Linked DNA regions of Lonchura striata. The protein of the gene in region 1 purifies or fractionates together with the protein of each later gene. This does not show direct contact. Links are inferred from orthologs where the notes say so. Each region holds a gene or a part of one and is shown on either strand. Other genes may lie near its edges.

What was found.
Region 2: the proteins of LLGL2 (region 1) and RAD18 purify together in Homo sapiens (affinity purification with mass spectrometry; 3 studies listed by BioGRID and IntAct, counting the BioPlex papers as one, with this or other methods). This does not show direct contact. The link is inferred for Lonchura striata from reciprocal best matches to the Homo sapiens genes LLGL2 and RAD18.
Region 3: the proteins of LLGL2 (region 1) and PARD6B purify together in Homo sapiens (affinity purification with mass spectrometry; 7 studies listed by BioGRID and IntAct, counting the BioPlex papers as one, with this or other methods). This does not show direct contact. The link is inferred for Lonchura striata from reciprocal best matches to the Homo sapiens genes LLGL2 and PARD6B.
Region 4: the proteins of LLGL2 (region 1) and PRKCZ purify together in Homo sapiens (affinity purification with mass spectrometry; 7 studies listed by BioGRID and IntAct, counting the BioPlex papers as one, with this or other methods). This does not show direct contact. The link is inferred for Lonchura striata from reciprocal best matches to the Homo sapiens genes LLGL2 and PRKCZ.

What each region holds. Positions count from the first base shown.
Region 1 is NC_134621.1:4,677,829-4,685,570, reverse strand, and holds the start of LLGL2 (LLGL scribble cell polarity complex component 2), read left to right. Parts: upstream 1-4,740; 5' UTR 4,741-4,822; intron 4,823-7,742. Other genes in the region: TSEN54 (tRNA-splicing endonuclease subunit Sen54), read left to right, coding at 1-58, 746-868, 1,956-2,106. UniProt on the Homo sapiens protein: Part of a complex with GPSM2/LGN, PRKCI/aPKC and PARD6B/Par-6, which may ensure the correct organization and orientation of bipolar spindles for normal cell division.
Region 2 is NC_134614.1:23,724,192-23,731,864, reverse strand, and holds the start of RAD18 (E3 ubiquitin-protein ligase RAD18), read left to right. Parts: upstream 1-4,668; 5' UTR 4,669-4,713; coding exon 4,714-4,761; intron 4,762-4,871; coding exon 4,872-4,953; intron 4,954-6,888; coding exon 6,889-6,950; intron 6,951-7,673. UniProt on the Homo sapiens protein: E3 ubiquitin-protein ligase involved in postreplication repair of UV-damaged DNA. Postreplication repair functions in gap-filling of a daughter strand on replication of damaged DNA.
Region 3 is NC_134619.1:1,171,538-1,179,404, forward strand, and holds the start of PARD6B (partitioning defective 6 homolog beta), read left to right. Parts: upstream 1-4,862; 5' UTR 4,863-4,930; coding exon 4,931-4,996; intron 4,997-7,867. UniProt on the Homo sapiens protein: Adapter protein involved in asymmetrical cell division and cell polarization processes. Probably involved in formation of epithelial tight junctions.
Region 4 is NC_134626.1:2,733,285-2,741,001, reverse strand, and holds the start of PRKCZ (protein kinase C zeta type), read right to left. Parts: upstream 3,014-7,717; 5' UTR 2,845-3,013; intron 2,051-2,844; 5' UTR 1,932-2,050; coding exon 1,861-1,931; intron 1-1,860. UniProt on the Homo sapiens protein: Calcium- and diacylglycerol-independent serine/threonine-protein kinase that functions in phosphatidylinositol 3-kinase (PI3K) pathway and mitogen-activated protein (MAP) kinase cascade, and is involved in NF-kappa-B activation, mitogenic signaling, cell proliferation, cell polarity, inflammatory response and maintenance of long-term potentiation (LTP).

The DNA.
Region 1 (7,742 bases):
CGCTCCTCCAGCAGATCAGTGTGCTGCAGCCCTCCCACATCCTGGATGGAGCCTCCCGGTTAGTATCCAGCCAGTCAGCTTGGAGCTGTTGGGGAGCAGGAGTGTCTTGGGACTGTCCCTGCTTGTGAGGTCTGTGAGGTGCTCCCAGCAGCAGTTTAGGAGCTGCCACACATATCCAGGGTGCCAAGAGAGCCCTGCTCCATGACCCCCTAGCATCTCTAGTGAGGGGGTGACATTTCCATGAATACCAGGTCCTGCAGCAACAGAGCCAGGGCTTTCTAGGCCAATTAAAACAGCATCTTATCCTGCCCTTCCCTCTGCAGAGCCAGAGGTTTTATAGGGTTTCACCTGTGCCTCATCCTTGGAATGTGCTGCCATCCCTGCTTCAGTGGTTACAAAACCTTGGCTTTGGGACTTGGGGTTCTGCTTCTGCCTCAGAGTCTGTGTGGTGCTTGTGTGCAGTCCCTGCAGTGCTTTGCTCTTGACTTTGTTAGTGCTGCTTCTTGTGAGGGCGTGGGGTAGATGTGAGCCACGATCTTGCTCTGGTCTGACTACAGGAAAGCTCTGGAAAGTAATTCAGTTGCAGGGAGTAATTCAGTCTTTTGAGGAGTGAAGCCTTTCAGGAGACCCAAACTAGTCAGAACTAGACCCAAAATGAAGGGAGTTTTTGCTCTCTCTTTTCTCTGCTGTACTCATACTCTGCAGTGTTTCAATCCCGTACCTGTGTGGGTGTGTTCCCCTGCAGGCTGCAGGAGGACCCAGAGGCCATGAAGATAGACTTCAACGTGTATCAAGCAGACGCAGTGTCCAAATTTAAGAAGACAAACCCTGGGAAGCCCCATGTCAGGATGTGTGTTCGGAGGTACCAGTGAGTCTTGTGCTGTTTCTGAAACTTTGCAGTTGTTGTGGAAAAGAAGTGCTAATGATCTGTAAATGACCCAGCATCTTGTGAGCTTTACAGATCATCAGAGTGTCTCATTTGAGGGTGGTCCTGCCCGCACAGGATTTTTTTTTTTCTTTCAGTTCCTCCTGCTTTGTTGGTGTCTGTGGCAGTTTCCCCCCCTTCCCCCTGCCCTTGCATTCAACCCACACTGTTTGGTCATCTGGTTGCTGCTCTGAGTATGTCTGAGTATCGCTGGGAGTCAGGAGAAAGAAGCCACAGCTTTTATGCAATGCTTGTGAAATTCAGGTAGAACCCAGCGCTATGGGAGCTGAATCCTCAGTCGGTGCAGATTCACTGTGGATTTCTGTAGAGAATTTCTGCAGAACTTACTACAGGCTCTGAGCCATGGGTTCAGCATTTTGATCTTTGTCAAGTGTAATGTTAAAATCACCAAGAACAGAGGGTAGGTGTCCCCTTTCTTGCTGGATCCAGGACCTGGTACTTAAACTCCATAGCTAGGTACAAAGTTCAGTTTCTGCCTTTTCTCATTTTACTTTACTGAAACTGTCCCTCTGCTCTCTGCAGCTGTAGTAGACAGAGCAAGGAAGGTGGTAATGCAGTTTTACCAAGGTATGTCATGAACCAATAGGATGATCCTTGTTGCATAAATATTTTCCTTGATGAGCTAACATACTCTGCAGAATTAAAAGGAGGGAGAAAGCAGGTCAGATGTTGATCTCAGCAACCTAAAGAGCTTTCCAGCACAAAGATATTAAGATTGCAGTGGATTGACCATTTGCCAATATCACTGTGACCCGTATCTAGTGGGCACAGCGTGGAGCAGTGTGCAGTTATCCTTGTTTTTGGCAAAGGATTCAACAGCTCCCAGTTCCTGGCATACTGGATACTCACTCTCAGGGCTGGCAGCTTTTTGCTCGGACTGCAGTGGATGAGGAGAATCACCACCAGCTCCTCAGGCCAAAGGGAGCTGTTGTGATGGCTGGCCAGGACAGCTTTGCCTCTGTGTTCCTCTTGCTTGGAGAACAAACAGGATGTTTTTTTCTCTCTGTAGCTTTGATGAGCAGATCCCCTCCCTGCGGGCTTTGAAGCAGGTGACGTATCTGAGTGGGGATGTCCCGTTGGTCTTTGCACTGGTGGATCATGGAGAAATCACCTTCTATTCACTGAAGGAGTTCAAGCTGCCTGTTGATATTAATCACTGAAGTTGCTATCACTTGGAGAAATGGGATGGGATAAAAGGAAGAGCTTTACTCAGGAGCTGTTTTCCTGATTAATGAAATATTACAGAAAACAGAGCCTGGGATAACTGGAACTTTGGGAAGTTGGCCACTTTATTGGCTGTTACAGACTTCACCCACACAGATGGCTCAGGCATAATGGTTAATTTACAGCGTACAAGTCTGTTTGGCTTAGCTGGGCTTTTCTGGGCTGGAGTACACACTGCTTTGTTCTTGAAACCACTGGCTCTCCGGCTTTCTCACCTCATGGACCACCAGCCTGCTTTCCTGAGTAATTTTTTGCTGACTGTGGACCATTAGAAAACACTTTGCTGGTGATCCTTTTGTCACAAGTAAACCACTGTGCTATATCAGTGGAGTGGTTGGAGTGTCACTGAGGTAAATCAGGGACAGAATAAGCTGATCAGTGCTGGTGGCCTGAGCCTCTGTCATTCAGCTGTGTCAACGACCATCAGATCAGAGTCTGGTCTGAAAAAGGCACAGCCATAAATTCAGTCACCTGGAGGAAAGTGTCCAGACACTCAAGAGCAGGAAACTGTGCCTTGAACACAGTTTCACGAGCCAGAGGCCACAGAAAGTCCCAGAGCATTGCAGATGGCAGCTTGGCCTCCTGAGCTTCATTTTGGCCACCCAGTGTTAAGCCGTGCTAAAACTTGACCACCACTATGAGCACACTGCATCTGGCAGTCTCACCAGGGCTGAGCTGCAGCCCCTCTCTTTCAGCCCAACATCCTCTTTCCTGGCTGTGGATCCTTGTTATTTGTCTTGCACGTGGGAGGTCCCTGAGTAAAGAAAAAGGCTCCAAATTCCTCATGAGTTTTCCAATCTGGTCTCCACCAGCATATCTAGGTACCAAATTTGCTTTAGCCTCTATGCCAAAAGTGCCAGGTGTCAGAAGGTCTGCTCAGTGGGTGGAGGTGAGCTAAGCATGGCTGTGCTTGATATCAAAGTTTTCAGAACTGTAATAGCAACTGGTTTAGATGTGTTTTATTTGGTATTTTTTTAATTCCTTTTGGACATGTGGAGAAGGCTGAGCAATAAAAAAAACCCTTTTCCAACGACGCAGGCTCCTTGGTGCGTTTCTTAATTACCCTAGAAATGTTAAATTATGCAGAGGGAGGCTGTGGAGGCTACTGGGACCCGAGCAGAAGCAGCAGCTGGTGAATGCCTGCTCAAGGTCATGCAGCCCTGTGGCTGCGTAACCCTGGTAACCCTGCTCCTACGCCGGCCGTGCTTGGCTGCAGCCGCTGCCCTGACCCCGGGGAGGGCAGCGTGACTCAGAGCCCGGAGGTGTCCCTGCATCCGCGTGCAGTTCCTGTCGGCACTCCACACCTCTTCCTCGTTCATCTTCCTCCTGCGTGCTCAGAGGTATCATAGCCCGGGGTGCCGCGGCTCTGCTGCCAGCGCCTGTTTCGCACACACGCCCCAGTTATCAGATGCTGGAAGTGGCGGGGCTCTCCTGAGGTGAGGGGTCTGGCGGCTCCTCCCACGCTCCCTCCCCTTCCTCTTCCTCCTTCCAGCAGGGCTTTGGCTCTGATAGTTTTCGCTAAAGCCGGGGTTGGCAGCCCCGGCTGCCCTCAGCATTCTCTCAGACTGTTTTACAGATTAAAGGCAGTGGCAAGGGAGTTTCTAAGAACAGGCGCAGCCAGGAGAAGTGCAGCCTGACCCACAAAGCTCAAGTTTGTCCTGGAATTAGGTCAAACTCACTCCTGTTGATTTCAATCAGTCTCATCTCTTTATGCCAAGGTGGAATTGTATCAATGAAGTCTACCAGAGCCACCCAGTGAGTTTCACTGGGGCAGAGACTCCCTGATTCAGCACAAGACAATTACAGTTTAATAACCACTGCAGAGAGGATTGAGAAACTGTGGCTGTCTTGCTCAGCACTGTAACATCTGATGGTGCCTTTACCCACCCCAGAACAGGAGCATGATCCAGACTGATACCACTGCTCCATTTTGGCCTGGGATGCAGATTAGCTGCTCATTGCAAGAAGATGAAAGAACCAAATATTTAATTGAAAAACATCACTTTTGGAAACGCGGGTGAAATACTGTTACTGGACCCTTGTCAGAGGTAATTTCAAGTTTTTGCATGGATGCAGAGAGGGCAGACCTTCACCTAGCCATTGCCCTTTACATAAATACAGCTTCCTTGTCCATCTACTGTTCCCTGCAGCAGGACGCAGGGTGGCTGCTGCGGGGCGGTGCAATGGGACTTGGTATTCCTCTCTCCAGCGAGTGCTTCGACTCTTTGCAACGTCTGCCTATTTTCGCAGGCAGGGCTGTGAAAGCTGGGAGCTCCGTCGCGGGGCTGGAGCCCGGAGGAAGGGCCCTGGAGCCCGGCCCCGGCTTTCCCCGCCGCCCTTTCCCGGCCTTTTCCCGGCGCCGGCTGCCCGCGCTCCCCGAGCCGCGCGGTGCCGCTCCCTGATTGGCTACAGCGAGCGCGCTGCTGAATTATTCATGAGTGCGCTGGCCGAAAGGGAGGCAGAGCCGCGGCTTATTTGCATGCGAGGCCACGCCCACGCGCGCGGTTTGTATATCGTGGCTCCGCCCACGGGGCGGCCCCGCCCCGCCGCGCCCCGCCCGGAGGTGCCCGCGGAGCGAGGCCGCCGCGCAGCTGAGGGGGAGCGGGCGCGGAGCGGAGCGCGGCCGGGGCGGCCCGGCCCCAGCCCCCGCAGGTGAGCGCCGCTCGCTGGGGCCGCGCGGGGAGGCGGGAGGCGGGAGGCGCTCCCGGGAGGGGTCCCGGCGCGGGGTCCGGCCGGCACGGCCCCGCGGAGCTCTCCGGGGCGGCCCCGCCATGCCCGCCCGTGCTGGGCTGCGCGGCCGGGCCGGCAGGTGCTCGCTGGTTCCCCCGAGAGGGTTCACTCCGCCGGTGCCCGGCTCTCCGCCCTGCCGGGCCGGCCACACCTGGAGCCCCGGCGCACCCGGGGACTCCGGCAGTGTCTCCCCGTGGAACTTGCAGCGGAGGGCTGCTGGCGTTTTGTTCGCTGTTGCGTCCGGTCCCGGGCTCGCCGCGCTGTGCCTGCACGGCCGGAGCGCGGCAGCTCCGCATCCCGGGATTCCCCGGGGGAGGTGGCGGCAGTGGCCGCTCCGGGACTTCCTGCCGGGCCCTGCAGCGGGACCGGCCCGGGGCCGCTCCCGGCGCGCGGAGCCTCCGCGGGGCTGCGGGAGCCGCTCCCGCCCGGTCCCGCGGGCAGCGGTGCCCCGCTCGCAGCCCGGCCCCGCAAGCACCAGTGCTGCCGCTGGCTCCGAGCAGCGGGTCTTGGAGAAGACAAGAGCTGCAGTGACTCTGAGTCCCGTGGGATATTCTGTTAGCATTTTCTCTCTTTTTTATTTCCTATGCCCGTATTAAATGCATCTTGTCACTACTAGTGGTTTTTCTTTCTCCTCCCCGAAGTTGAGAACTCGCTGAATGAAAGAGCACGTTGATTCCAGCAGGCAGCGAACAGGTGTAATAAAACGGTGAAGGAAGTTGTTCAGCCTTTGTCTCAGGTTGCCCTTCATTGTGCCACGGGAACAGGCTCTTGCTGGTATCTCCCCTCCTGGAGCTGGGGCTTAACCTTGGTATTGGAGAAAGCTTTGCCTGTTTGTGTTTAGTTTTGTTGATGGTGTAGAGCAGTTGAATCACACTCCCGGGTGTGTGTTTCTGCAGCCAATGACACAAAACCTTGTGCTGGTGTGACAGGAGAGGGGGACAGCTCCACTGAGATGGTAGAAGTAAAAGTCCATTGTCATGTCTTACTTGATGGGGAATGCTGCTCTTTGTAGTCATCTGAGAGCACTTCAGTCAACTGGAATATCTGGCTTTACCAAGTCCCAGCTGAAGCTGTGTGCCCAGAGCAGCTGCCTGGTGATCTTAACTTTGAATCGGGAAGTTGCTGCTTCTGGCAAGTGGAATGCAAAGTGCTGGTACGTCCCAAGGCTCCTCCATGCATCCTGGCACGTTCCTTGTCGGGGTAGACTGACCCGTGGAGAGGATGAGGATGATCTGTGCCAGTAGTGAGCAGTCCCTAATCCTGCTCAGTGCTGCTTGTAGCCTGTCAAGGGGCTCTATATAGTTTGTGGTATTGGAGAGGGAGAAGAGTTCTCAAACATCTTCATAGGATGGTACTGAGGAATGTCTTTTATTTGGTTTTGAACAAATTGCATCTGCTATAACAGCTGACCAAAGAAAAGTACTGGAGGAGTTAAACCAGTTGAGAGCCCTTTATCTTCCAGTGGCCTTTGGTATGGTAACATAATTATTCCTGGGAATTGCTTATGGAAGAGGTGTGGCTTTTCTTGGCTGACAATAGAAGCTTGAGAAATGTCAAAGACCAAGGGAGGTTTTAAACCTATGTCTTGCATGGCAATAAGAGTATGTGATACTGCTAGTACAATAATTTTTCTTTAAAATACCAAAGGAGGCACTGGTTTGGTTTCTATGCAGAAATTGTGTGGAAACTCCAGTTCTCATATACGCATTTCTCAAAGCTGGATCTCTTTATGTTGCTTTATGAAGCAAATGCTTTCATGGTTTGCTCCATTGACCTACTGTTTGTAAAGTGCTGCTCCAAAGTTACAAGCCCCTTTTCTGTTTGATTCACGCTCCTTAGCAAAGCCTACAAAAGGTTTTGCATCATGGGCAATAATGTTGTTCAGTGCAAAGACTTTGTTCTGCTGTAGCATTTTGAAACTTTGTGTTGTCATGCCCCCATGACAAGGAGAACACAATAGGAGTCCTAATGACACACAAGGTTTGCACAATTCCCAAATTCATTGCAGGTGGGCGGTTCCTGGTAATTCCAAGTACAAGGCTGTTGGCAGTACATGAACTTGCCTGAGTTGTGTGATTACTTCTCAATTATTTTCAAAGGCTTCTTGGAGAATCGATGTCTGATAGTTTGTTTAATATTGTTTGTGTTTTAGGAGGGCAGCCACTTGCACATAGTGTTACCACAGTCTGTTCAGTTGTTCATTTCACTGTCTCTCCAGATTCACTGAAGTAAATTCCTTTTAAAGGATCTTTTGGTTTTCCTTGCTGACTACTGTATGCAAGGTGCACCTGAACACTCTCTTGTTTATGAAAATGCAAGTGGCAGGGGGTAGCAGTGGCTCAGCAGTTGTGTAAAGGAGATCTCTGCATGGTCTCATTAAACTGAGATTAATGTTAGAGCATCTTCCTTCTCCTGGGAAGAGGAGGTGGTGTCTTACACTTCTCTCTGTGTACTGCAACTGCTCCTTCCCTTGCTTTAGCTGTTCTGCTTGGTTTGTGCTTTTCTTGAGTATCTGCCTTGACAGTGTGTCACAGCCAAGCAGGGTGGTAGAGGTGAACAGTTAAAGAATAGCTCAGGCTCGTTTCATTGATTTCAAGCTAAAATTGTTCTTAAATTTGTCCTTTCACAGTGAGTCATGGCACCTGTAATGGAAAAATGTGATAAATCTGGTGTTTAAGTGATACTTTGCTCAGTTCTGTTGGTGTGAGATCGCTGGTGCTAAGGAAGAGCTTTTTGCTGTGCAGCTGACCCAGCCTCTATTGTCTCACTGTTGACTGTGTTGGTAACAGCAACAGGGCAAACTCCTGGGTGCAGGAGAGAACCTGGTTCAGACAAGGCCATG
Region 2 (7,673 bases), on another chromosome or scaffold:
TTGTCAGATGTCAGCTCCCCTGGCCCTGCCCAGGGATAGCTCATCAGCCTGGGAGGGACAGTGCTGGCACCAGCCAGTGCTGCTGAGGGTTTGGTGCATTCTGAGCTTGATTTCAATTTTAGTATTTTTCTTGGAATGTTTTTGCCCCCTGCTCCAGCACAGTGTCCCCGTGTCCCTGGAGTGGAGCCCTTCCTTGGCTGGCCAGTGCTGGTGTGGTGGTGTCTGAGTGCTCCTGGTGCCCCCAGCTGTCCCCACCCTGCTGCCTCTGGCTGCAGCAGCCCTGCAGCAGCCCTGCAGCAGCACTCAGCAGCCAGGGCTGAGCGATCCCACTCCCTGGGGAGGCTGTGCTGCATCCCACACCTGAGCTGGCTGCAGGCACAGAATGAGGATATTTACCCAACTTCTGAAAACTTTATTATTTCCCCTTAAAACCCACCTACAGCCTCACTATAGAAACACTGGAAACCGGGCTTTAGCAGGCCTGAGAGACTGCAGCATTACCCATCTTCTGTAAATACTGTGGAGCAGTTGGAAACCTTTGTATGATCCCAGCTCAGCTGGAAAACAGCACCACATTCCTGCTGCCCTTTGGGATCATTTCCCCTTCTTGTTGGGTGGGAGGCAGCAGCTGTTGAAACAGTTTGGTTTAAGTGTTTCATGAGATAAAAGTGTAATTTGCTGGATTTTAAATATCTCATGCATCAGATCAGCATAAGTACTGCAGGTAAACCAGCCTTGCTCTGCTCCACAGAGAAGCCTCTTCCCTCCCCAGGAGCCTTCCAGAAGCTTGGGCTTGGAGTCTCTGATGGTGCAAAATCCGTGGAGGTTTGTGTGCTGGAAATGAAGCTTCAGCTCAGGAGCAAAGCTCATCCCAGGCTTTAAATCTAATAACAGCCTCCTGACAGCCTCCGAAGGCCAGGCACCCTCGGACAGCTCCGAATCCCACCCGAGCCCCGTCAGCACGAGACTCATGCACGTGTGTCTGGTTGTGCCTAACGAAGACAAATCTCTTCATTAAGGGGCTCAGCTGCCGGGCAGCCGGAGGTTTGGTGACGGGAGCCTGGCTGGAGCTCTGCAGCGAGGGACGGGCTGGGCAGGCTCTGCAGCCCGGCCCGAGCCTGGGCTCCCTGTGGGCCAGGAAGGGCTGTCAGCAGCGCTCAGCCCAAACCTTCCATCCCACTCAAAGGCAGCGAGCTGCTTTCCCTCCTGGAGGAGTCTCAGCCGACAAGAAATCCTGTCCTTGGCTGCGTTACCCACCGCTGCCTGCTGCTGCTGAGCACTGATGAAGCTTCTCTTGGATTTCTGTCTCCAAACTGTTGCTGCATCCATTTTTTTTACCCCTTTCAAGACAGCCTTTATAAAAATAATATATTTAGCAATGACTGGCGAGTGCTGAAGCTGGCAGAGCTGTACCATAGAGCAGGGCAGTGCTGAGCTTGTGAGGCCGTGGCAATGTCCGAGGGTGAGGAGGCTCTCAGAAGGCTCTAGGGTGAGATGCAGCCTTTTTCTTAAAAGAAAGAAAAAATCTAGTCTTATGTAAGACAAAACATCTGCTAGTGCATGAGTAATGCCTTCCCTCCTCCCTGGTGTGGCAACCGAAGTCCATGGGAATTGTGTGAACGATTGTTTCCTGTAAGAAGTTATACACTGTTCACAGGTTTTTGGGGACAAGCCCTGTGTGCAGCCACGCCTTCCCTTTTGCTGCTTGCTCGTGGCTTTGGATCCTGCTGCTCCTGGCCCCGCTGATCCTGCCCGTCCCAAGGCTCCCACCTCCTCATGTCCCAGCAGGACTCCTGTGGCTGCCAGTCTGCCCAGTGCCACCCACCAGGGAATGGGGCTAATTCACGTCTGTGCTGAATTTCTATTGATATGGCTTGAATTTTGGTGTCGTTTCCCTGCCTGGAGCTCAGTTCTGGACACTCTGGGTCAGTGTCCCTGGCCAGAGCAGGAGGAGCTGCTGGGTCCAGCACAGGTGAGTGCTCCTGCCAGATGGATGGGTGCAGGTGTCTCTCAGCTTCCAAACGCTGCACCAGCCATGCTCTGGGCTTCTGCTTTCCATGGTCTGGGACATTAATTGCTGCCAGAATTACTAATGAGCTTCAGCTTTTAGCCTGAGTGCTGCAGGCTGCTCCTCCAAGGTGGAGATCATGGAGTCAATTAAGTAATTACCTGGTGTTTCAGCTGCCAGCACCCGAGAGGTTTTGTTTTTCACCACTGGCATCAATCCCAACACACATCTCACCCAGACTCATCAGCAGTGGTTTGTGCACTACTGGAGCAAGCTGGAGCTGCCTTTTCTGCATGTGTTCTGGTGACAAATGGCTCCGTCTCCCTCTGTTTAGTCTCATTCTGGCACATAAATCCAGGCGTAAGCAGGCTAAGCTGAGCAGAAGCCAAAACTGCCTCTTCAAAATTCTCTTGTTGCGAGTGTTTTACCTCAGTGATGTGATGAGCAGCAGCTCACCAATGGAAAGCAGAGCGGGCTGAGCTGGAGGTGACAGACAGTGGCACAAGGAGCAGCCAGACTCTGCTGAGGCCCCACGGGCCAGGGAAATGCATCTCCAGTGGCTCCTGGCACTCATCAGCCTCGTGGCAAGGCAGTGCTGGGGCGTTCTGTGCACAGGGACGGGGCTGGTGGGAGGGATCCCTGCCCTCGGGCACCTCTGGGCACAAGCTCCAGCGGCACAAATGCAAAATCCATGGCACAGCATGCACGCCTTGTTGGTGAAAGCTGTGCTCTTAATTAAATCAGGGTTGGGAAGTGCTGAGGGACCAGAGCCCCACGAGGAGCTCTCAGGCCTCTCCTGCAATTCCCAGTAATTTACAGGGAATAGAAATGAGCCTTCATAGGAGCAGGGCATGTCTTGTCTTACCCTGCAGAGAGATGGAGTGGAGGGAGGTCTGCTACCCTTGCATTGCAAGGGCTGAGAACTGCTTCATGTTCAGGAACAGGGGAAGGCAGCAATGAAGTGGCAAATACAGCAGCAGAACAACCCAAACAGTTTTTAGCAAAGGAATGAAGCCCCAGCAATGGGCATTTTGGTGGCAAATCAGCAGCCATATGGCACAACAGACTGACAACAATTTGTATCCAAACTCTGCTCCCAACATCCCTTTCCTAGTCCCACGTCCCTTTCCTAGCTGAAAAAGGCAAAATCTGTGCAGGACAGCTGGAATGTCAACTAAGAAGCACTTCTGTTAATGCATTGACTCTCTTGCCTTTGGATTTCACCCAATTTACCCTTTTTTCTGCATGGGAATGCAAATGGTTGTTTCCTATTTGTCAGCCCCTGCCTGTGACGTCCATCACAGGTCTCTGGTGGGGTACTGCAGTTACACACACAGAGTATCTGCACAGGGAATCACTGCTGGAAACTAGGCACTGGAAAGTCATCTCCCACTGAGAAGGAAGGCTCTTAGCCTTTCCTGGGGCTGGCATGCTGTTTCTGGGCTCTTGCTGGTACTCGTTCTCAAAATGCTCAGGAACCACATGTTAATTTAATTCAGGTTGTTTGTTTTGGTTTGGTTTGAGGGTTTTTTGGGGGACTTTTTCTGCCTTGGTTTATTTTGAATGGTGGGGAAGGGAATTGCACCCAGGCTAAGAACCAAACAGCCAAAGAGTGACTCTAGGGCACAAAGCTGGCAATGCAATGCACTGCTGGGAGACAACCAGAGAGAATGGAAGGTATTACAGACCTATCACCGTGTCTAGGTGTGCATGGATTGTCCGTGTGGGAGTTTTTATACTGGAGTAGTTTAACGCTAGTGAGATTACTCATGATTTTCCCAGCGTTTACTGGACCAGCATCAGTGTCCAAATGGGAGATACCTGCACGTGCAAAACAATGTCTCTGAAACATCACCCAGTGTCGCTCGTTGCTGTTGGCCGAAGGCAGCAAAGGCCAATTCAGCGCTGGCTCCTTCTCTGGCTGCCAGTGTCCGTGTCCCAGGTCAGGCTCTGCCCGTTCCCCTGCAGCCTCCGCTGCCCAGGGCTCTGCTCCCTTCCATTTCCATTGCCGTTCCCGGCACGTCTATCCCCGTCCCCGTTCCCGGCGGCTCCATTCCTGCTCCCATCCACGCTCCCATCCCGTTCCCCGTTTCTCACCCTTTCCATTCCCGCTCCTGTCCCCGCTCCCGTTCCCCGTTCTCACCAGTTCCATCCCCGCTCCCGGCGGTTCCCGTTCCCCATCCCCGTCCCCGTTCCGTATCTCCCGCTGCCGCAGTTCCCGCAGTTCCCGCAGTTCCCGTTCCCCATCCCTGTTCCCCATTCCCGTTCCCCATCCCCGTTCCCGCCCCGTTCCGTATCTCCCGCTGCCGCAGTTCCCGTTCCCCGTTCCGGTTCCCCATCCCCGTTCCCGTTCCCTATCTCCAGCTGCCGCAGTTCCCGCAGTTCCCGTTCCCCATCCCCATCCCCGTTCCCGTTCCGTATCCCCCGCCGCCGCAGCTGCGCGGGCGGAAGCGCGGGCGGAAGCGCGGGCGGAAGCGCGGGCGGAAGCCGGCGGGAAGCGCGGGCGGAAGCGCGGCCGGAAGCCGGCGGGAAGCGCGGGCGGAAGCCGGCGGGGAGCGCGGGCGGAAGCCGGCGGGGAGCGCGGGCGGAAGCGCGGGCGGAAGCGCGGCCGGAAGCCGGCGGGGAGCGCGGGCGGAAGTGCGGGCGGAAGCCGGCGGGGAGCGCGGGCGGAAGCGCGGCCGCGGCGGGAGCGACCGAGCCCGGCCATGCCGCTGCTGGAGCCGCCGTGGCCGCCCGGCCTGGCCCCGCTGAAGGTGCGTGCGGGCCGGGTCCCGGGGTTGTCCCGGGGTTGTCCCGGGCCGGGTCCCGGGGCGGGCGGTGCCCCGGCCCGGCCCTGCCCGCCGCTCACCCGCTCTCCTTGCAGGCCGTGGATGACTTGCTGCGCTGCGGGATTTGCTTCGACTACTTCAGCATCGCCGTGATCATCCCGCAGTGCTCGCACAGCTGTGAGTGCCGCGGGAGGGCGGCGGGGCCGTGTCCCGCCGGACGGGAGGACAGCGGGGAAGTTCGGCCCGGCCGGTCCCGGGCGGGGATGTTCGGCCCGGCACGCAGAAGGCTCCGGAGCCTGCAGGAGAGATGGCCAGGAACGATTTACCAGGGCCTGGCATGGCTTCCCACGGTTCGGTGGGAGATGCAGAAGAAGCTTCCCCGGGAGGGCGGTGGTGCCCTGCGCAGGGTGCCCAGAGCAGCTGGGGCCGCCCCATCCTTGGCAGTGCCCGAGGCCAGATTGGGTGGGGTTTGCCGCACCCTGGGACAGTGGAAAATGTCTTGCCCATGGCAGGGGGTGCAACTGGCTGGGCTTCAGGGTCCCTTCCCACCCAAACCGTTCTAGGGTGCCTCGATTCTCTTTGCCGTGGAAGCTGGGAGGAGCTTGGCAAGATGGAAGCAGCCAGAGCCCTCCCTGCTGTAGTTCCTGCTGTAACACAAGCATGTGGCATCTGGCATTCTTACTGTAAATATCTTTCTTAACATCTTGAGGGTGGTACAAATGCAAAGCTCTATGTGCTGAGCATTAAGACCTCAAATTTTCCATGCTGTTCTGTCTGCCCTGCAAGATACCGACTGGAACCTGACCCCAAGTGCTTTGTTGAAGCCAGATTAGGAGGGAAGTACCTTGCCTTTTCCCACGTTAAAATAAATGCTTGTGATTGTTAGGTTCAGAAACTGTAGCACTTCCTTCCCTGAAGGGGGCCGTTGTCATTTGGCAGTGAAGTTTAGTTTAGCTTGGCAGAGCTGTCACCACTGAAGCCAGAGTGGGGAGCCACAGAACTGGGAATTCTCTTCACTGGCGGCTGGTGCAGCCATGGCTCTGAGCAGCAATCTTTGCACGTGGGCCATGGGAGGCTGCTGGGGTGTTGGATGCTGGCAGCCTGGGTCTGCCACTTCATTCCTATTCCTACAGTTAAAGTTTGTTTCTTAATGGCTTTCTCACCCTATACCACTTCTTGCTACGTGTCTAGTAATTTTTGAGCATTTAAATGGATATGTGGTTTTAAGTGTTAATTGGTGCTTTAGAACAGGTTGGATTTGGCTTGGACAGCCTGGTCTAGTGGAAGATGCCCTGCCCATGGCAGGGGCAGGGGGTGGGATGAAATGAGCTTTAAGGTCCCTCCCAACCCAAACCATTCTGGGATTAATTAATGCTTCTGCTGCTTTTCTGATGCATTCTCAGAGGGCCTATGAAATATAGATCTTTTTCAGGAACTAGTGCTGAAACTCTGACCTATGATGATCTAGTGAGGGAATTTTGTCCTGGAGAATGATGAGATTTTTTTAAATCCTTAAGTGGCTGTGAAAGCTATGGGATAAATTGACAAAGTGTAACAAACACAGAAATGTACTGTGACAGTGTGTTTCACCGCCCAGCCTGTCGAGGCATCCTGTGATGGTGAGGTGACATTAAGCTGTCTCTCAGCATTTCAGTGCTGTCTGCCCTCCTTTCCAGCCTCTTCTCTCGACAGCAAGTTGGTATTGTTTTGGAAAGGGGCAGAAGAGCCTGGGGGAAAGGAGATTGTAAGTTTGTCTGGGGCTGTGCAGGCAGATGAAAGTGATCAGCATTAGTCATGTCAAAAACCCAGTTTTTGTGGGGGAGTGAGCAGTGCAGCCACTGCTGTAGTGGTGGGGGCTGAGGAAGGCTTTCTTGCACTGGGGAACAAAAGGAAGCAAACATCAGCTTTCGGTGGAGGAGCTGATATTTGAAATGTGCTTGAATAAAATGCAGGTTCTTTTCCAACAATGATAATTCCATGTGAAAATGGTGTGTTTTCAATATTTGTGTGTTGTGGAGTAGCTTGTGTGTGTTGTACAACAAGGAAATACACAAGCAAGGATGTGGATGTGCACTTGGAATAATGCTCACAACGATGTGTTCCCTTTTCCAGATTGTTCCCTTTGTATCCGCAAGTCTTTGTCCTACAAAACGCAGTGTCCAACGTGCTGTGTGGTAAGTGTGGTTTTCCCCCTCAGTTTATTTTTAATCTTTTGGCAAATCTTAGGAGCTTTTGCCTTTGGACTGTGCCAAGTAATCAATTCTGATTGCATGGGCAAAGTGTGGTGCTCTTGCATCTGGAATTGTTCTGTTCCAGAGGTACTCCTTTGTCAGTGCAGGCAGAAGGGGATGGAGAATCAGGCCTGAGGTTTGGTCAGGACTGTGTACAATCTGTCACAAAACATTTAACATTAATTTGTTAAAATACTCCATGATTTAAACCAGCAGTGCTGAAACGTAAGCGCTTCATTTTCTGTGTGTGAGTGGCCCCATTTAATCTCAAAGTAAAAATAGAATAAAAAAGTAATAAAAGCTTTTTTAAAAATAAGAGCAGAGAGAGTTGCAGCGTGGTAAAAATCAGAAATTGTTTAAAAAGAATGAACTGAATGCACAGAGGCAACTCATAATTCATATTTTCATGCCATAATCAGAAGATTAACATCTCCCTTCATCAGTTTTCATGCTTTGTTGCTTAAGGTTCTTACCACCTTCAGAAGATGGTTTGGTTTGGTTTCCAAAATTATTAGACCTGTGCTGCAACAAACCATTACTGGAGCCTGGGCACACTGGGCTTTGTTGCTTTAGCTTTATGCTTTGTTTTCGCCTGTTACCTTAATATCCCAGACTTAAGTTCTCAGGCAGTTACTTTAATATGAGATATTTTTGGGGAAGAAGTGT
Region 3 (7,867 bases), on another chromosome or scaffold:
ACTGAGAACAGGAGCTGGGGGACAGGGGGACAGGGCATGGCCACTCCAGAGGGACACCAGGCACTGAGAACAGGAGCTGCTGCTCAGGAAACTGGGGAGCCCACATGATTTTCCCTTTTTCCCACCCCACTAAAATTCTGGACCAGGAACACTCAGTGAGTAGTGGAAAACCAAGCAGGAAATGTTCAGGAATTCTTTCGTGTAAAGATCCCCAGAAGTGTTTCGCAGTGGCCTGGGCAGCTCAGCACCAGCGTGGCTTCTCGGAGCGCTCCGGGCAGAGAGATAAATCATTAAACCCCACACGAGTGCAAGCTGAGGGGTCAGCTGGGATCCAAACTGCCCTTCTAAACAAGGGGGAATTTCAAAGGAATTCAGAGTCATTGGACACAAATGGATTGCTAGATGAAGGGGAAGAAAGAGCTTTAAAAGCTTTTCATTATTTTAGTTAGAAACCTCAGAGAATTTAAATGAATGTATCAATATCAGCTTTCGACTTGCTAGGAAGGGGTTTTCAGAAAACTTCACGAGTTTATTGCTGGACCAAGTTTATAACTGGATTTATAACACACCTGAAACAAATGTTTCTTTCACAGGCAGCATGGTATGAAGACAACCTTTCCCATAAAGGCAGACAAAATAAAAGTACAAACCAACGAAGACCCCCCCCAACCCCAGGAAACTATAAATATTTTATCGGAAAAGATCTTATATATGAACTTGAAAAACAATCAATTCATTTTGTCACAGACAGGTAAGTAAATATTGCATCAAAGTAACAACTAAAGGTTCCTGGAGGAGGAGTGGAGAAGAAAAATTGCTGCTAGTTTTCCTGACAGGAAAGAAGAAAGCAAAGGCAGAAACAGAACACAAAAACTTATTACTAACCCAACTATTGTTTCCCCCCTCAGTAAAATAAAATTTTAAAAACTCAAACAAACAGATAAACAAAAAACCCATCCCAAATTAAAATCCTGTAACTGCCACAATTTCAGTGTAAGAAATAAAATTTTTATTACACAAGTGCTACTCAAATACTGCTGTTATTAATGAAGCAGCTACGTTGCCATGCCCTGGGGTTTTCTTGCTGAGCCTTGCTGCTGTTTTTGTGTAGAGCTGTTGGTGTGGAGTGTGTTCCATGGAGATAAAGGGTAACAAGCTCCCCTTCTCAAATTCTTCCTCTCTGATGCAGCACTTGTGAGCTCACATCCTGCCTCGGGATCAGCACTATCAGCAGAGAGTATTCAATGGATTTTATGGATTCGTGGGAAGTAGTGCTCTACAATAATTTTGTATTTGTGACCATCAGACGCCCCCATGACAGCACTGGTTTGTCTCCAGCACTCACTTATCAAGGAGAGGCCAAAAGCAATTTGAGGTCACGCTGGTCCCTAATATTGTGAAAATGGAGTATCCAAGAGCACACACTACTGTTGAAAATGCTTCTTTGTAGGGAAATGTAACTGGGACACAACATTAATGTATCAAAATTGCAGAAGGTATCAAAAAGAAAGCCTGTAAGTACAGGATTTATTTTTGAAAGAAAGCAGAATTTTATTAACATTTTGAAAATAAAGCTTCTCTTTTTCCCCTTTAGTTTTCTCTACCCATAAAAAACTCTCCAGTCTCTCATCAACTCCAAGACAAGCTCAGATTACAATCTAGTGCATCTAACAATCACTCCTCTGAGCTGGCACTGACAGTGTAAATAAAGACTACTTTATGTTAAATATGAAATCAGCATAAGCCCTGAACTATGTAATAAAAGATTAGGTGGATCATCAATATAGTTAACCTATGCTGACAGCAATTTTCTGTGCTTTATTCTTGGAAATACTCTCTGAAATCCCAGGAGGGCTGTATGGAATACAATTCCACTTAAAATCTCAGAAATCTGGAATAGGAAACCAACATCTTGGCACAATCTCACTATACTGCATGGTGGACCTAAGTGATGGAATTTCTACACAAAAACAAACAAATGGGGAGAAAAAGGCCTCCCAAAAAAGCTTCCCCAGCTGCTCAGAGATCAGGAAACCCAACCTGTCTTTCAACTTCACAGAAACTGAACGTGCCGTGAATAGCTTGACCAGGTCTGAATCACAGGTTGTACAGAACTTGTGACTAAAATAGCTCTATAAGCTTACCTTACAAAGAGCCTGCCTCACTCCCCACCTTTATCTGAGATCAAATTGTTTATCACATTCCTTCCTCGTACGTCAGCTCCTTGTGATGAAAGCCAGCCAGTGATTAATACATTTTATTAGGTTGGTTCCAGTGACTTGAAATGAATTTGCCCTGACTCCTCAGGCTCGCTCCCACACCCACTGCCTGGCACTCCAGCCATGCTAGGAATGCACAATAGAAAACAAATTATCTTAGGCGATACCTCATAAATCTATAGCAGTAAAATTAACTGCACAACAGCTCCAAGCAGAAATCAGCTTCAGGAGGTTTTTCCTCCCTTTCTCCAGGAGAAAAGAGCCAACCCAGCAGCTTTAAAGCCCCAGAGAAATCACTGTTCCCTTGTCTCTTGCACTCTTCTCTGTGCTCAGCTCATTAAACAGAGCTGTAGAAGACAGATATGGAAAGCAGTCCAAACTCTTTTCAATGTTATAATTACAAAGTGACAGAATAAGAGGTTTTATCCTGGTCTTGCTCTCAGAGCTGTAATCTTCCTTCTACTGCACCAGGATCACAGATTCTATCTGAATTTACAGGTTGAATTCTCTACGTGTCCTTCTGCAGTGTAAAACCAAAACATGCTGGATAAAGGATGAGAAGATTTGAATCAGCCTAGACACCGTCTGGCAGCAAACTATATTTAACTATTAACAATATCCTCTGTGCTAATTACAGCTTGTCTTGGCTCGAGTGAGAGCTGCAATTCCTTTGCCTTTGGCGTGATGGGAGGAAGATCAACTGTACAAAAATCAGCACCGACTTAGAAGTGATTCAGCACTGGATGCATTTTATTTAATTACTGATTACCAACTGAGACTTGAGGACTAGACACCCGTGGCGTGCCTCAGGTGCAAGGCATTGTTTGAGCTACCATCACTGGCATCCACACATGATGAAACCTCACACGGCATTCTCTTCCACCAGGTTCATAGATAATGGAGAGACCTGTAATTCAAAGGTCTGTTGACATAATGAGATTAATGTACATGCTTTCTTCTTGTCCATACACGTGAGAAGTAATTTATTTTCAGACAGTTTACAATCTTTTTCTAAACCTTGTACTTTTGTCAGGGTAGCTTAACTGGCCTTTAAATGAAATTTAAAAGTTAGCTCTGACATTACCAGATCCTGCAATCTTATTTGTGACCAAAATGAAAACAAGCTCCATGAACAGCTTTACGTTCAGGATGGACATAAAGCCACATCCTGAGAGGGAGACGTCACACTTTTGGCCTGACCAAGGTTTATTTATGTAACATGCAAACATCAGCTAGCACTGGTGCGGTTTGCGTGTTACATCCGTGGGATCCCAGGATCCCTGAATCACAGAATCACTGGGACTGGAAACGATCTTTCTCTGGAGATCATCCAGTCCATCCCCACGCTCCATGTCTGAGGGCTCGGAGCCTCCAGGGCAGCCTGACCCGGGGGCTCCGGGGCTGTGAGGGGCACTGGGCCGCGGGATGCGGCTCCGCAGGGCTGCGGAGGAGCAGCAGCGCAGCACGAGGCTCCTGGGGCTGTGGGAGAATTAGGGCTGGCTCCTCGGGGCTGTGGAGGATCCAGAGCTCGCCATGGAGGCTCCCGCGGCTGTGGGAGAATTAGGGCTGGCTCCTCGGGGCTGTGGAGGATCCAGAGCTTGCCATGGAGGCTCCCGCGGCTGTGGGAGAATTAGAGCTGGCTCCTCAGGGCTGTGGAGGATCCGGAGCTCGCCATGGCTAGAGCTGACTCCTCAGGGCTATGGAAGACCCAGAGCTCGCCATGGAGGCTCCTGGGGCTGTGGGTTAGGGTTGGCTCCTCAGGGATGTGGAGCATCTGGAGCTTGCCATGGCCAGGGTTGGCTCCTCAGGGCTATGGAAGACCCAGAGCTTGCCATGGAGGCTCCTGGGGCTGTGGGTTAGGGTTGGCTCCTCAGGGATGTGGAAGACCCAGAGCTCGCCATGGAGGCTCCTGGGGCTGTGGAGGACCCAAAGCTCGCCACGGCCAGGGTTGGCTCCTCAGGGCTGTGGAGGATCCAGAGCTCGCCATGGAGGCTCCTGGGGTTGTGGGTTAGGGTCTGGTTGGCTCCTCAGGGATGCGGAAGACCCCGAGATCGCCATGGAGGCTCCCGGGGCTGTGGGAGGGTTAGGTTGGCTCCGCAGGGCTGTGGGGGAGCCGGAGCTCGCCGTGGAGGCTCCCGAGGGCCGCGGGAGGATGCGGAGCCGCGGGATGGCGGCTCCCCGGGGCGGGAGGTGCCTGAGGAAGCAGCGGGAGCCGAGCCGCGCTCCGGCCCCGTGCGCGCACAGCCGCGGCCGCTGCGGGCACAGGAGCGGCGGCACGGCCCGCACCCGCTGCGGGGACAGGAGCACAGAGCCCCGCACGGGCCCGCACCCGCTGCGGGGAGAGAAGCAGAGGCACGGCCCGCACCCGCTGCGGGCCAGCAGCACAGCAGCGCGGCCCCTCACGGCCCCTCACGGCCCGGACCCGCTGCGGGCCAGCAGCACGGCCCCTCACGGCCCCTCACGGCCCCCGCCCCGCCGCCTCCATCTTGCGCGGCGGGGCAGGTGCGGCCCGCGGAGGCGGCGCAGGCGCGGCGCGGCCCCGCCCCGGTGCCCGGCAGGTGCCGGAGCCGCGCGGCCCCGCCCCGGCCCGGCCGCGCTGAGGGCGGAGGCGGCGGAGCGGCCGCGGGTGCCGGGCTTTGGCTGGGCCGCGCCGCCGCCCGTCCCGCGGCGCTCCGGCGGACGGAGGAGCCAGAGCAGCGACCGCGCGCGGCATGAGCCGGGCTCCGCGCGGCGCCGCGGGCAGCCGCGGCCTGGGCACCATGGAGGTGAAGAGCAAGGTGGGAGCTGCCGCCGCCCGAGGGCCGCGGGCGCGGGGGAAGGAGCGGGCCGGCCCCGCGCGGCCGCGGTGTCGCTGCGGGGACGGGATGGGGACGGCTGCTGACTCACCTGCCCGAGGGGCCGCCGGGCACGGCCCCGCCGGGCCTGAGCGCTCCGCAGGCCGCGGGCCCGGCGCTCCCTCCCCCGGCCCCGCTGCCCAGCGCTGGGGTCGCTTGCTGGGTGCGCTGTCTGCGGGCGCGAAATGTAAATGGTTTTGAAGTGCTTTAAAAAAAAAACAGGTAAGTGGAGTTGACCCCTGAGTTTCTGGACAGAATGAAAGACGTACAGACAAATATGTGCTCTAGGGAAAGTGTGGGATCACTGGGCCAAAAGAGGTATTTAGAGACATTCTTGGGGAGTGGGCTACATGATCTCCAGAGGTCCCTTCCAACCCTGAAAGTCCTGTGATAATTCGAGACCTTCTCTTTGTCCGAATTGCGGTGAGTGCGTTTGTTAGTGACTGTTTCTGTAGTTACCTTTTTTCCCCTAATGATTATGTCTTTCTGCAGCTTGTTGTGCGGTACAGCATAGGCTCACAGTAGAGCTAGAGGTGAGCCCTGGCTGGCTTATCCGAAAGTGGAGTTTGCCTTCTCTTAGAGGCCCCGGGAGACTTTTACCCTGGCAATGTTTCAGGAGTGTGTACCTGTGTGTTCCCGCAGAGATCACCTCTGTCAGGTGCTCACAGCTTTGCCCAGCTCTGTAAATTCCCCCATGCGTGTATCCACGTCTCTTCTATTTTTAATTTTTATTTGCTGGTTAGGCAAAGTTTTTCTGACAAAACTTAGATATTCTGAGAAAAATTAGATTTTTTTTTTTTTTTGTTCTGCTTTATATTTGTAATAACTTCCAGTTGTAAAACTGCTGGATGTACAGTATGAGTTGGAGTATCACCGTTAGTTTAATAAATGTTGCGCTGAAACACCTTTTTCATTGCCTAGGCAGATTGTAAGTGCATCCACGTGGGAATGTGTTTTCCATTGGTGGACACATGGATCTCTCTGGTTGTTTTTTGAAGTGTTCTGTCCCCTCCTTTCCTGCTAGTGAGGTCTTACAGCAGCAGTGCAGGTGAAGCAGTCAGGACTTGAGCTGTGTGGATGTCTAAGGGTAACGCATCATAGTGCTGGAACTTCTGGAGAGTGTAAGGTTGGTCTCTACTTGAATGAGGATGATTTCTTTTAGAGTGTTCATTTTTCATGTGGTTTTAACCAGCAAGCACAGGAATATCTGGTAGCTGTTATTTCAAATACCGGCTAAGTTAGTACTATGATGGTGAAGTCTTCTATTTATGCTCTTATAAGGTTGAAAAGAGTCAGTATGATGTGCTTACAAACCCAAATCACTTGTTTCCTCAGCCCAGAACTCCAGGTTTACTGTTTTCCCTGCTGTGTGTTTTCCTTGATTTAAAATACATCGAGGGAATCAGCCATGTGGTGTGTTCTGGTGTTTGTACAGAGAAGTGTAGCCCTAATGAACAGGGATTGTCCCTCAAGTGCATATTATGGAGCAGGATTCAAGACATTCCTAGAACTACTTGTTGCTAATGCATTATTTAACAGCACCTCAATTAATATCACAGAGGAGTCATCTTCCTTCTATGAAAATGAGCAATTCTGAAGAGAAAGAAATGCCTGTGTGGGAGGTGGAGGGACCATTCCTGTGGAGTGGCCTGGGCTTTGAAGGCTCTCCGTGATGTACAGCTCTTTATTTAGATATTCCAAATCAATAATTGTGCCTCAGCTGACAAGGCTGGGCCAGCACAGCCCAACTGTGCTTGCAGTAGCAGGAGCACAATCCTTTTGTTAGTTTAGTTTATTCACTTTGGGTAACTGCTCTGAGCTTGCCCTGGCAATTCCCCATAGTACTTGAATTCCAGTCAGCCTGTTTTCTTGTCATGGAAAATAAAACTTTATACCCCAGACTAGAGTTCCTACTGATGGTATGGGAACCCCAAAATAAGCTTCTAGTTCTCTATATATTAAAATTCGTGTTTTCCCCCTTTCTCATGACTTGGAATAATATTTTTTCTGAGTAAAATCTTAATGACTGGTGAGCCAGAGAAGGTCAGTGCAGCTCATGTTCTGTCAATGATGGAGACATGCATAGGGCAGCTCTGTGCTGTGTTTCAGACCCATACATGAGTGTTGAGTGGGCATCCCGGGTGCCTTCCTGGTGTGCTGCCATGGCTCTCCTGCCTTCTCCCAGGGGAGCAGCACAGGCTTGTAAAGAGCTCAGGTGGCAAGGAGCCTTCTGTGCTTGAGTTACTCCTCCAGTGTCTCTAGGACCTCAAGTGCAGGCCTGTTTCATGGGATGGAGGGCAGCATCTGGTAGAAAATGCAGACGTTTCAGGGATTCAGATAATGGAATTGCACAGTTGGACTTGTCTTTTACCTGCTTTCTAATAGTATTGAGCAAACTATGTTAGGAAATACGAGTGGGTTATGAGCCTTTTGGTATTTGCACCAAATATGTATAAAATAACATGGAAAAAATAAAAATCGCACGTTTGAAAATCTGACCCTTTGCTTGCTGTGGTAAGATTCAACATTTATTCCAGCCTGAGGGTGAGGTTGTTGACTTTTTAAAACTTTTGTTACTGAATTACGTTTAAAGTATGTAATCCTTGAAAGCCAAAGAATTTCGATGGCTGCCATGCATGGACAGTTCCTGCGGGGCTCGGATCTGAGACAGGACGAAGTCCTGCACTGATGTCACCATTAAGCTGCGCTGCCTCTGACGTGATGGGAGTTCCTCCCGTGGGCTGGGCTTTGTTTGTAAGCAGGTACGAATCATCCCTTCTTCCTCATTAGTTAATGTTAGGGTAATTGCGGGGT
Region 4 (7,717 bases), on another chromosome or scaffold:
AATCAGGGCACAGGGAAGTGAAAACCATTCCTTGTTTAACACTAAATAATCCCACAGGACACTTAAAAAAAAATATTTGAAACTGTAGACTAGACAGTAATATGAAATGCTAATGATCAGTAAATTCTGTATGAGTAGTTACAGCACAAGAAATAATCCCAGTGACAGATCAAACATGTCATCTCTCAGAGCCAAGACAACGCACAACAAAGCAGACTGCACCATTGCTCTGTTTTAGTGATTTCAAGCAACCAGGTATAGAGAGGCAAGTTGTGTAATTCTTGGTTCATTATTGCAGTTAGTTTTTCTTTTGTAATCTACTCTGGCAGTGATTTCTACTGTGCTATGTTAGGAACTCTGTCACACCCAGAAACAGGAATACCTGAGATACTCATACTCCAGGGATACACTCAACGCTCATGTTTTAAACTTCCCCATGCTCAGATTTCTAACAGGCATTTCAACATGGCATCTGTACTATTATTTTAATTTCAGCAGTTAGTCCCTAATTCTGAAGTTGCCCAGCATCAATGATTTCCTGCAGTCTCAAATTTGTTCAAAAGCCGAGTGCGGTACTGCAGTGGAGATACTGAGATGATCAGTTTTAGAGGCTACAATGCCACAAAGAGTCTTTTTTACCTCACACAATTTGATCAGCAGAACAAAAACAAAATTCATAGCACTTGGAACTCTTGTTTGCAAACTGACTTCTGTAGACTTCATAGCTAATGCAAAAGACAATGTAGTGCTGCAGGAAAAAACTACAGCAGTTTATTGTAAAACATGGTAATAATAATTTGACTTCTAATTTGACTAATAATAACTTGACTTCTAACATTGACACAATTATTATCACCTCTCCCAGTTGTGCACAGACAAGTTCCACAGACATACTCCTTTCACTTTGTATCAACACTACCTGACAGCAAGCCACCCCAAATTATTTACACCCAGTTCCATTGGTGCTTGTAGTGCCTTCCCTCACAGAGCTGATTCAGTTGTTCTAGAACTCTAAACTCAGGACCTCAAACTACCTGGCATTGATAAGTAGGTAACTTTAAAACGAAAACATTTTGTTTTCAATAAAATTTGTGAAGTGACTTTCATAACTACATCACATTTTTCTACACCATAATGTAGAAAATTCTATATTACGATAATTTCTACTACCATACATAGCAGTAGCTACATTTACTTATTTAGCAGTAGAGTATCAGAAAATATCACTCAAGCTACTTATTAAATGGCAACAAGTTCAGTCTAAATACTTCCAATCAAGTTTAAGGATTTACTTGGGCCAAGTATTTAACTCCTCAAATGCCTTAAACTCAGGCTTTCAAGGAAGACAGGAGAAACTGAAGCAACATCATTTTATAAGGTCCTCAGAGGGGCAGCAAACCAATTAGAATAAACATACCTGAAAATTCAAATTTCATGTTGCTGCAATAAAACCTTCCTGTTTATACTGTCAACTGAGTGAAGCCATAAGGGACCATGACATTCTGACTATAAACAGGATAAAATGTAATAACTGCATCTGGATGCAGGAGATGGATCTAGACCTGACTATGACCATGGGAATCAATAATCCATCAACCCACAATGACTGTGGGTTTGTCACTGATGCACATTTTCTTCCCTTCTGAGAGAAAAATAAATTAACTTTTCTTCTTGATCAGCATGCTGCAGGAGTCTGACTGGTATTTTAATAGCTCAGAAGTTTACCTGTCTGATCTGACACTAATTACAAATCCACCAAAGCCCTGGTTACTTTATCACCAGGTCAGACCACAAACTCCTGCTCAATACACTTCAAAAATAGACAGGTCACAACACAGAGGAAAGGACACACTGACTTACCCGCTGTAGTGTGTTTTTACCCTGATGAAGTCTTTGTTCAGATCAATTTTTGAGCCCATTCTGCTAGGCATGGTCTGTATTTAGCAGTTATATAAAAGTATGCAGAAATAAGTTGATTCAAAACAGATAACAGATTCTGAAGAGCTTCACATGTGAAATGTGTTTCTGCTCCAGATGATTCTCAATCCAGCTGCATAGATAAAAACCCAAAATATTGATGAATATACACACACTGCTAAACAAATGAGTTGTGTCAAATTTTAGAAACACAGATAGCTTTACATAGAACAGCAAAAAAATCAAAAGGAAAATGTGTAAGACCATTGACCTGCACAGAAATTAAATAAGATTGGTTAAAAATACCCTGTACAATTTAGCTTTACAGAAGTAGACCAGGTATTTGAGGATGTTTTCTTAAAATCATCGACTAGCTCCCTAGTGGCTGAAATACTCCACAGAAGTTTTTACTTATTCATCAACACAGCATCTTACTCTTTTCTCCCAAATAACTAAAAATAGTTTTTTTCTGTAAATAAAACATTGCAGTCAATTACTATCAATTACAAATCTACCCAAGGGAAGCAGCAGAGGAACTCCGAGGGGCAATTTAGCATACCTTTATGATTGGAGCCTGACAAACATCCTGTTTATTCCAAACTACCACCTCACACATGAATGTGTGTATGCACGCACCTCCGTAACCCCGCTGTCCGGGCAAGCCGGCCCACAGGTACCGGGGAGCGGAGACCCCCGAACCCTCCACCCGACCCTCCGGGGGGCTCAGGGCAACACGCGGCCCCTCCGGGGGCTCAGGGCAACACGCGGCCCCTCCGGGGGCTCAGGGCAACACGCGGCCCCTCCGGGGTCCCCCCTCAGCCCCGGCCTGCGGGGAGCGGCCGGGACTCGGCACCACCGCTCGGGACGAGCCGGCGCCGGCACTTCCCCGGACGGAGCGGTGTCCACCGGGACCGTCCGGACTCTTACCTGCTCCGACCGCGGCGGTCCCACCCTACACGGTGGGGCTCCGCGGCGCGCAGGGGCCGCTCCCTGAGCCCGGCCCGGCTACACCTCCGCGGCCTCAAGTTGCTCAAAGTCCCGCAAGGAAGTTTCCAAGCGGACTTTGCCTCGCTGCCGGCGGTGCCCCGGCGGGGAGCGGCGGCGGCGGCGGCCGGCGGAGGAGCCGCGCTGTCCCTCAGGCGCCCCGTCAAGTCCCGCCCCAGGTGGCCCCGGCGCCCCTCAGCCGCTGTCCAGGCTCAGCGCCCCGCGCCCGCGGCAACATGGCGGTCTGAGGGCGGGAGCCGCAGCCAATGGAGAGCCAATCCCCGCCCGGGTCCCGCCTGCCCGCCGCCAATGGCAGCGCGGGAACCGTTACCTGGGGAGCCGGAGCGTCCCGGCCAACCAGAGCGGGCGGGGGGGCGGCGGGGAACACCTGCAGCCAATGGGAACGCGGCGCTGCAGGGAGCGGCGGCTGAGGGAGCGGGGGGACAGGTGAGAGGGGACTGTGCTGAGGGGAGAGGTGAGAGGGGACAGGTGTGAGGGGACAGGTGAGAGGGGACAGTGCTGAGGGGACAGTGCGCAGGGGAGAGGTGAGAGGGGACATTGCTGAGGGGACAGTGCTGAGGGGACAGTGCTGAGGGGAGAGGTGAGAGGGGACAGTGCTGAGGGGACAGGTGTGAGGGGACAGGTGAGAGGGGACAGTGCTGAGGGGAGAGGTGTGAGGGGACAGTGCTGAGGGGACAGGTGTGAGGGTACAGTGCTGAGGGGACAGGTGTGAGGGGACAGGTGAGAGGGGACAGGTGTGAAGGGACAGTGCTGAGGGGACTGTGCTGAGGGGAGAGGTGAGAGGGGACAGATGAGAGGGGACAGTGCTGAGGGGACAGGTGAGAGGGGACAGTGCTGAGGGGACAGGTGTGAGGGGACAGGTGAGAGGGGACAGTGCTGAGGGGACAGGGTTAAGGGGACAGTGCTGAGGGGTCAGGTGTGAGGGGACAGGTGTGAAGGGACAGTGCTGAGGGGACAGGTGAGAGGGGACAGGTGTGAGGGGACAGGTGTGAAGGGACAGTGCTGAGCGGACTGCGCTGAGGGGACTGCTGTGACGGGAAGGTGTGAGGGGACAGGTGAGAAGGGATTGCTGTGAGGGGACAGTGTCAGGGCACAGTGCTGAGGGGACTCGGTGAGTGGACAGGGGAGGAGTGTGAGGGGATAGTGCTATGGGGACAGGGAACTGGTGCGAGGGGACACTGCTGAGGGGACTGCTCAGGGGACAAGGATGAGGGGACAGGTGAGGGAGACAGGTGTCAGTGGACTCGTGTGAGGGGACAGTGTTGAGGGGACTGCTGTCAGGGGACAGGTGTGAGGGGCTACAGGACATGTCAGGGAGGACAGGTGTGAGGGGAGTGGTGTGAGGGATAGAGGACAGTGCTGAGGGGACAGGGGACAGGTGTGAGGGGACAAGTGTGACAAGACACTGGTGTAAGGGGACTGGTGTGAAGGGGCTGGGGACAAGTGCTGAGGGAACTGGTGTGAGGGAACCAGTGGGGAAGAACTGATATGGGGGCAGAGGTGAGCTCCTCAGGGGACAGATGTGAGGGGAAGGGACATGTGCTGAGGGGATAAAGGCCAGGTGCTGAAGGGACAAGTGTGGCAGGACAGGCCCTCTCTGTCTTCCCCGGTGCTGCCAGAGCTGCTTCCCAAGAAATCTCCGCAGGAAGCCCCAGCAGTGATGTCCCATGAGTGTCAATCCAGCAACCATCCTGGGGAGGGGCCACTCAAAGTGGCTAAAGCAGGAACATCACAGCTGAGATAATAAAGAGGTAATAATATCAGACTGGCCAGACAAGAGAGAAAAACATTATATTAGTGGTGGAGCAACTAGAGTTCCACAAGAGGCAGTCTGTGACATGTTTAATGCTTTGTAAAGTTTGGTTTTGATGTTCTTCCCTGATGATGCTTTGATATTTTGCTTCCAAACTGTGAATGAATGAGGATCAACTGCTTTTTCCTCACGGAAAGCTGGGATGGTGAACTCAGAGAGTCCTCTAGTGGAAATGCTGCTCATCCTGCCCAAACAGCTGTTTTCCTGGTGTAATTTAAAACTTTTCTAAGAAAATAAGCTATCCAAGCAAAAGGGTTTCTTTGGGGCTTTTCTTGATGTATTTATATCCACCATTGGGAAACATGAGCCACCCCATTTGGAAAACAAAACAGAAGACACAACTATTAGATTTTTTTTTGGGCTAGCTGGATTTGTACACCTCCATCAAGTTTCTTCAGGCACATTTAGCACTTTCTCAGCACTTTTGTGGAGCTTTTGGGGTTTGTGAGTTGGACAGTTTGCAGCAGTGCAGTTCTGAGGCTTTTTTTGATGTTTCTACAATCTTCCAAAATACAAATAAATAACAGTTGGCACTAATTTAATTAGCAGTAAAATGGAAAATGTATTCCCATCAGTTGAGATGTTTTCTCTGACACCAAGGAAATACACCCCATGGCTTCATTTATCAGTCTTAAATTGAATTATTTGTGTGTCCACTGCTAATTTTATCTTATTTGGAACGCTCAATTTGGTTTCAAAGTGGGTCCTTAAATCTTCATGTGCTCCAAATTTTTCTGCTTAAAATGGAGAACATTATGTAAGGTAGGTCTGCAAACATAATTCTTTCAGGTCAAGGTAGTCTTTGATCTCCATGTCAATTAAATGCTTCATCTCCTTGAGCTGTTGGATTGGGAGATAAAAGGTTCTTCAGAGCTGTGATCTGAAGTTTTGTGTGGCTTATTGCTGTTTTTTCTTCTAGCACAACTTACCAAGGAGAAAAGCTCAGGTGTATTTTCAGTGCTTGACGAAAAAAATCTCAACCATAATATTTTTATATCTCACTGAGATATTTTGTAGTTGTTCACTTGCTGTTGTTTTGGGTTGGTTTGTATTTTCTTATGTTACAAGACTGTTTAAACAGTTGAATTTCTCAATAGATGCTTCCCACTTCTGGGCAGATGGCAGTTTTTGGAGAGGACCTTGACTTTGTTCTATGCATTAGCTGACAAGGTTGTAACTGGTTTGAAACACAACAAGTTGTAAATCCTGAGTGTATTCCTCACCTTTTTGCCCCACCCTATATTTTTCCAGATGGCAGGCACTTTCGTCTTCTACCAAGCCATCTTCAACTTAAAAGTTGCAATATTTCTGTCTATTCTACCTAGATGTGAAGAGCTGACAGGCTCCTACCAGCAATTTAATTGAATTTTATTTTATTCCAAGTGTAAATAAGATATTTAAAATTCTAGTTCTTTTAAAAATCACCATTAGAATATTTTCATATCTAATCTTTCAAGAGCAGTGATTTGAAGCAATTTGTTTGAGAAAGAGAAAGCTAAAGAAGGTTTTGGTTTTTTTCAAATATTTCATTTCTGAAATTCTACATTCAACCTCAGCATCCAATCATGCCACAGATTATCTGTATCAGCAAAAATGTGATTTATTCAAGAATCTAATGATGGTAGTTAGTCCAACTGCTGCAGCCTGGGAGTCTGATGTGAATTGTCTTTTTGAGTTAAAGTTATGAGTTTTCCGAATATTCTCCATTATTTCCTGGCACTGAGGTAAATTCCTTTCAGGCTGTACATCAGCACGTTTCCAGCAGATGGCAAGAGACTCCCAGGCAACTCGCTGGGAGTCACGCTTGTGCAGACGATGCTTACAAGTCGTACGTCTTTATTTAGTGCTTCAGTGTGTTGAGAACTCTCCTTTAAAAATCAGTTTAAAACTTAAAAAAAATATATAAATATTTGGGTTAATGACTGCATCAATCTAAAGTACAGCTTGAGCCATCAGACACAAGGTACTTGTCTGTTTCTGACAAGGCTGACCAGAAAACTCCTCCCTCCCAAACACTCCAATGAAAACATCGTTATGGTAGCTACTTTTCCCAGACAATTGTTGCAAAAAAGGGTCAATCGGTACTAATTTCACCTCGGTAGAAGACAGGTATCCTGCTAGTACTTGAATTCATGACTCAAAATCTTCAGCTATATTAGGACCTTTCAAGTTTGCAAGGTTTTAAAGATTTAGTAGGGATTAGAATGATGCTTTCACACTGTGAACTAAACAACAAAGAAATTGAGAGAGACAGCTCATTTCTCCAAGTGCATGTGAAGCATGAGTAACCAGTTCTGTATCACTTGAGAATAAAAATGCCTCCCCATAGAATGTCTCTTTAGCAGATCAAACCAGCAGCATGTGCAGGCTGCTCTCCAGCCTACTTACTCTCTTCTTTTGCCAAGGAAGAGACTAGATATTGTTTCCATTGAAATAACTGGCAGTGAAATCCTTGGGTGCAGTGGGAATGAATTTGGGCCAGGTGCCACAAAGTTTGGATAAAAATAATAAGGCAAAGCATTAATATATTTGAACATAAACTCGAGTAAAGCAGATATTCTCCATAATATCAGAAATCACCATGGCAATTCTTTGTAGATTTTCTTGCTGGCTTGAATATTAGTGTTTTTCTAGCCTGTGTTAAAATAGACAAAATGAATAATGTTTCAAGACTATTTTAAGCCAACACCTCCCTTACTTGTCTGTCTTATATAAGATAGAAGCAACCAGAAGCTGACTCTCTTGTTGACACCTCATTAGCCAGGAGGAGAAAGAATTATATGAGTAGCCCAAACTACACATCTTTAAAAGCAACTAAACCCAAATCTTTGTGCTTCTGTATTTACTTTTTCAGGATATTTAAACAACCTGTTTGATTTTACAATACTGTGTGCACTGTAATTGATCAAGAACATATAGAACCTCCCGTCCTTTATATATATGCACATACAAGGTTATATATAAAAGTTTCACCTACAAAGA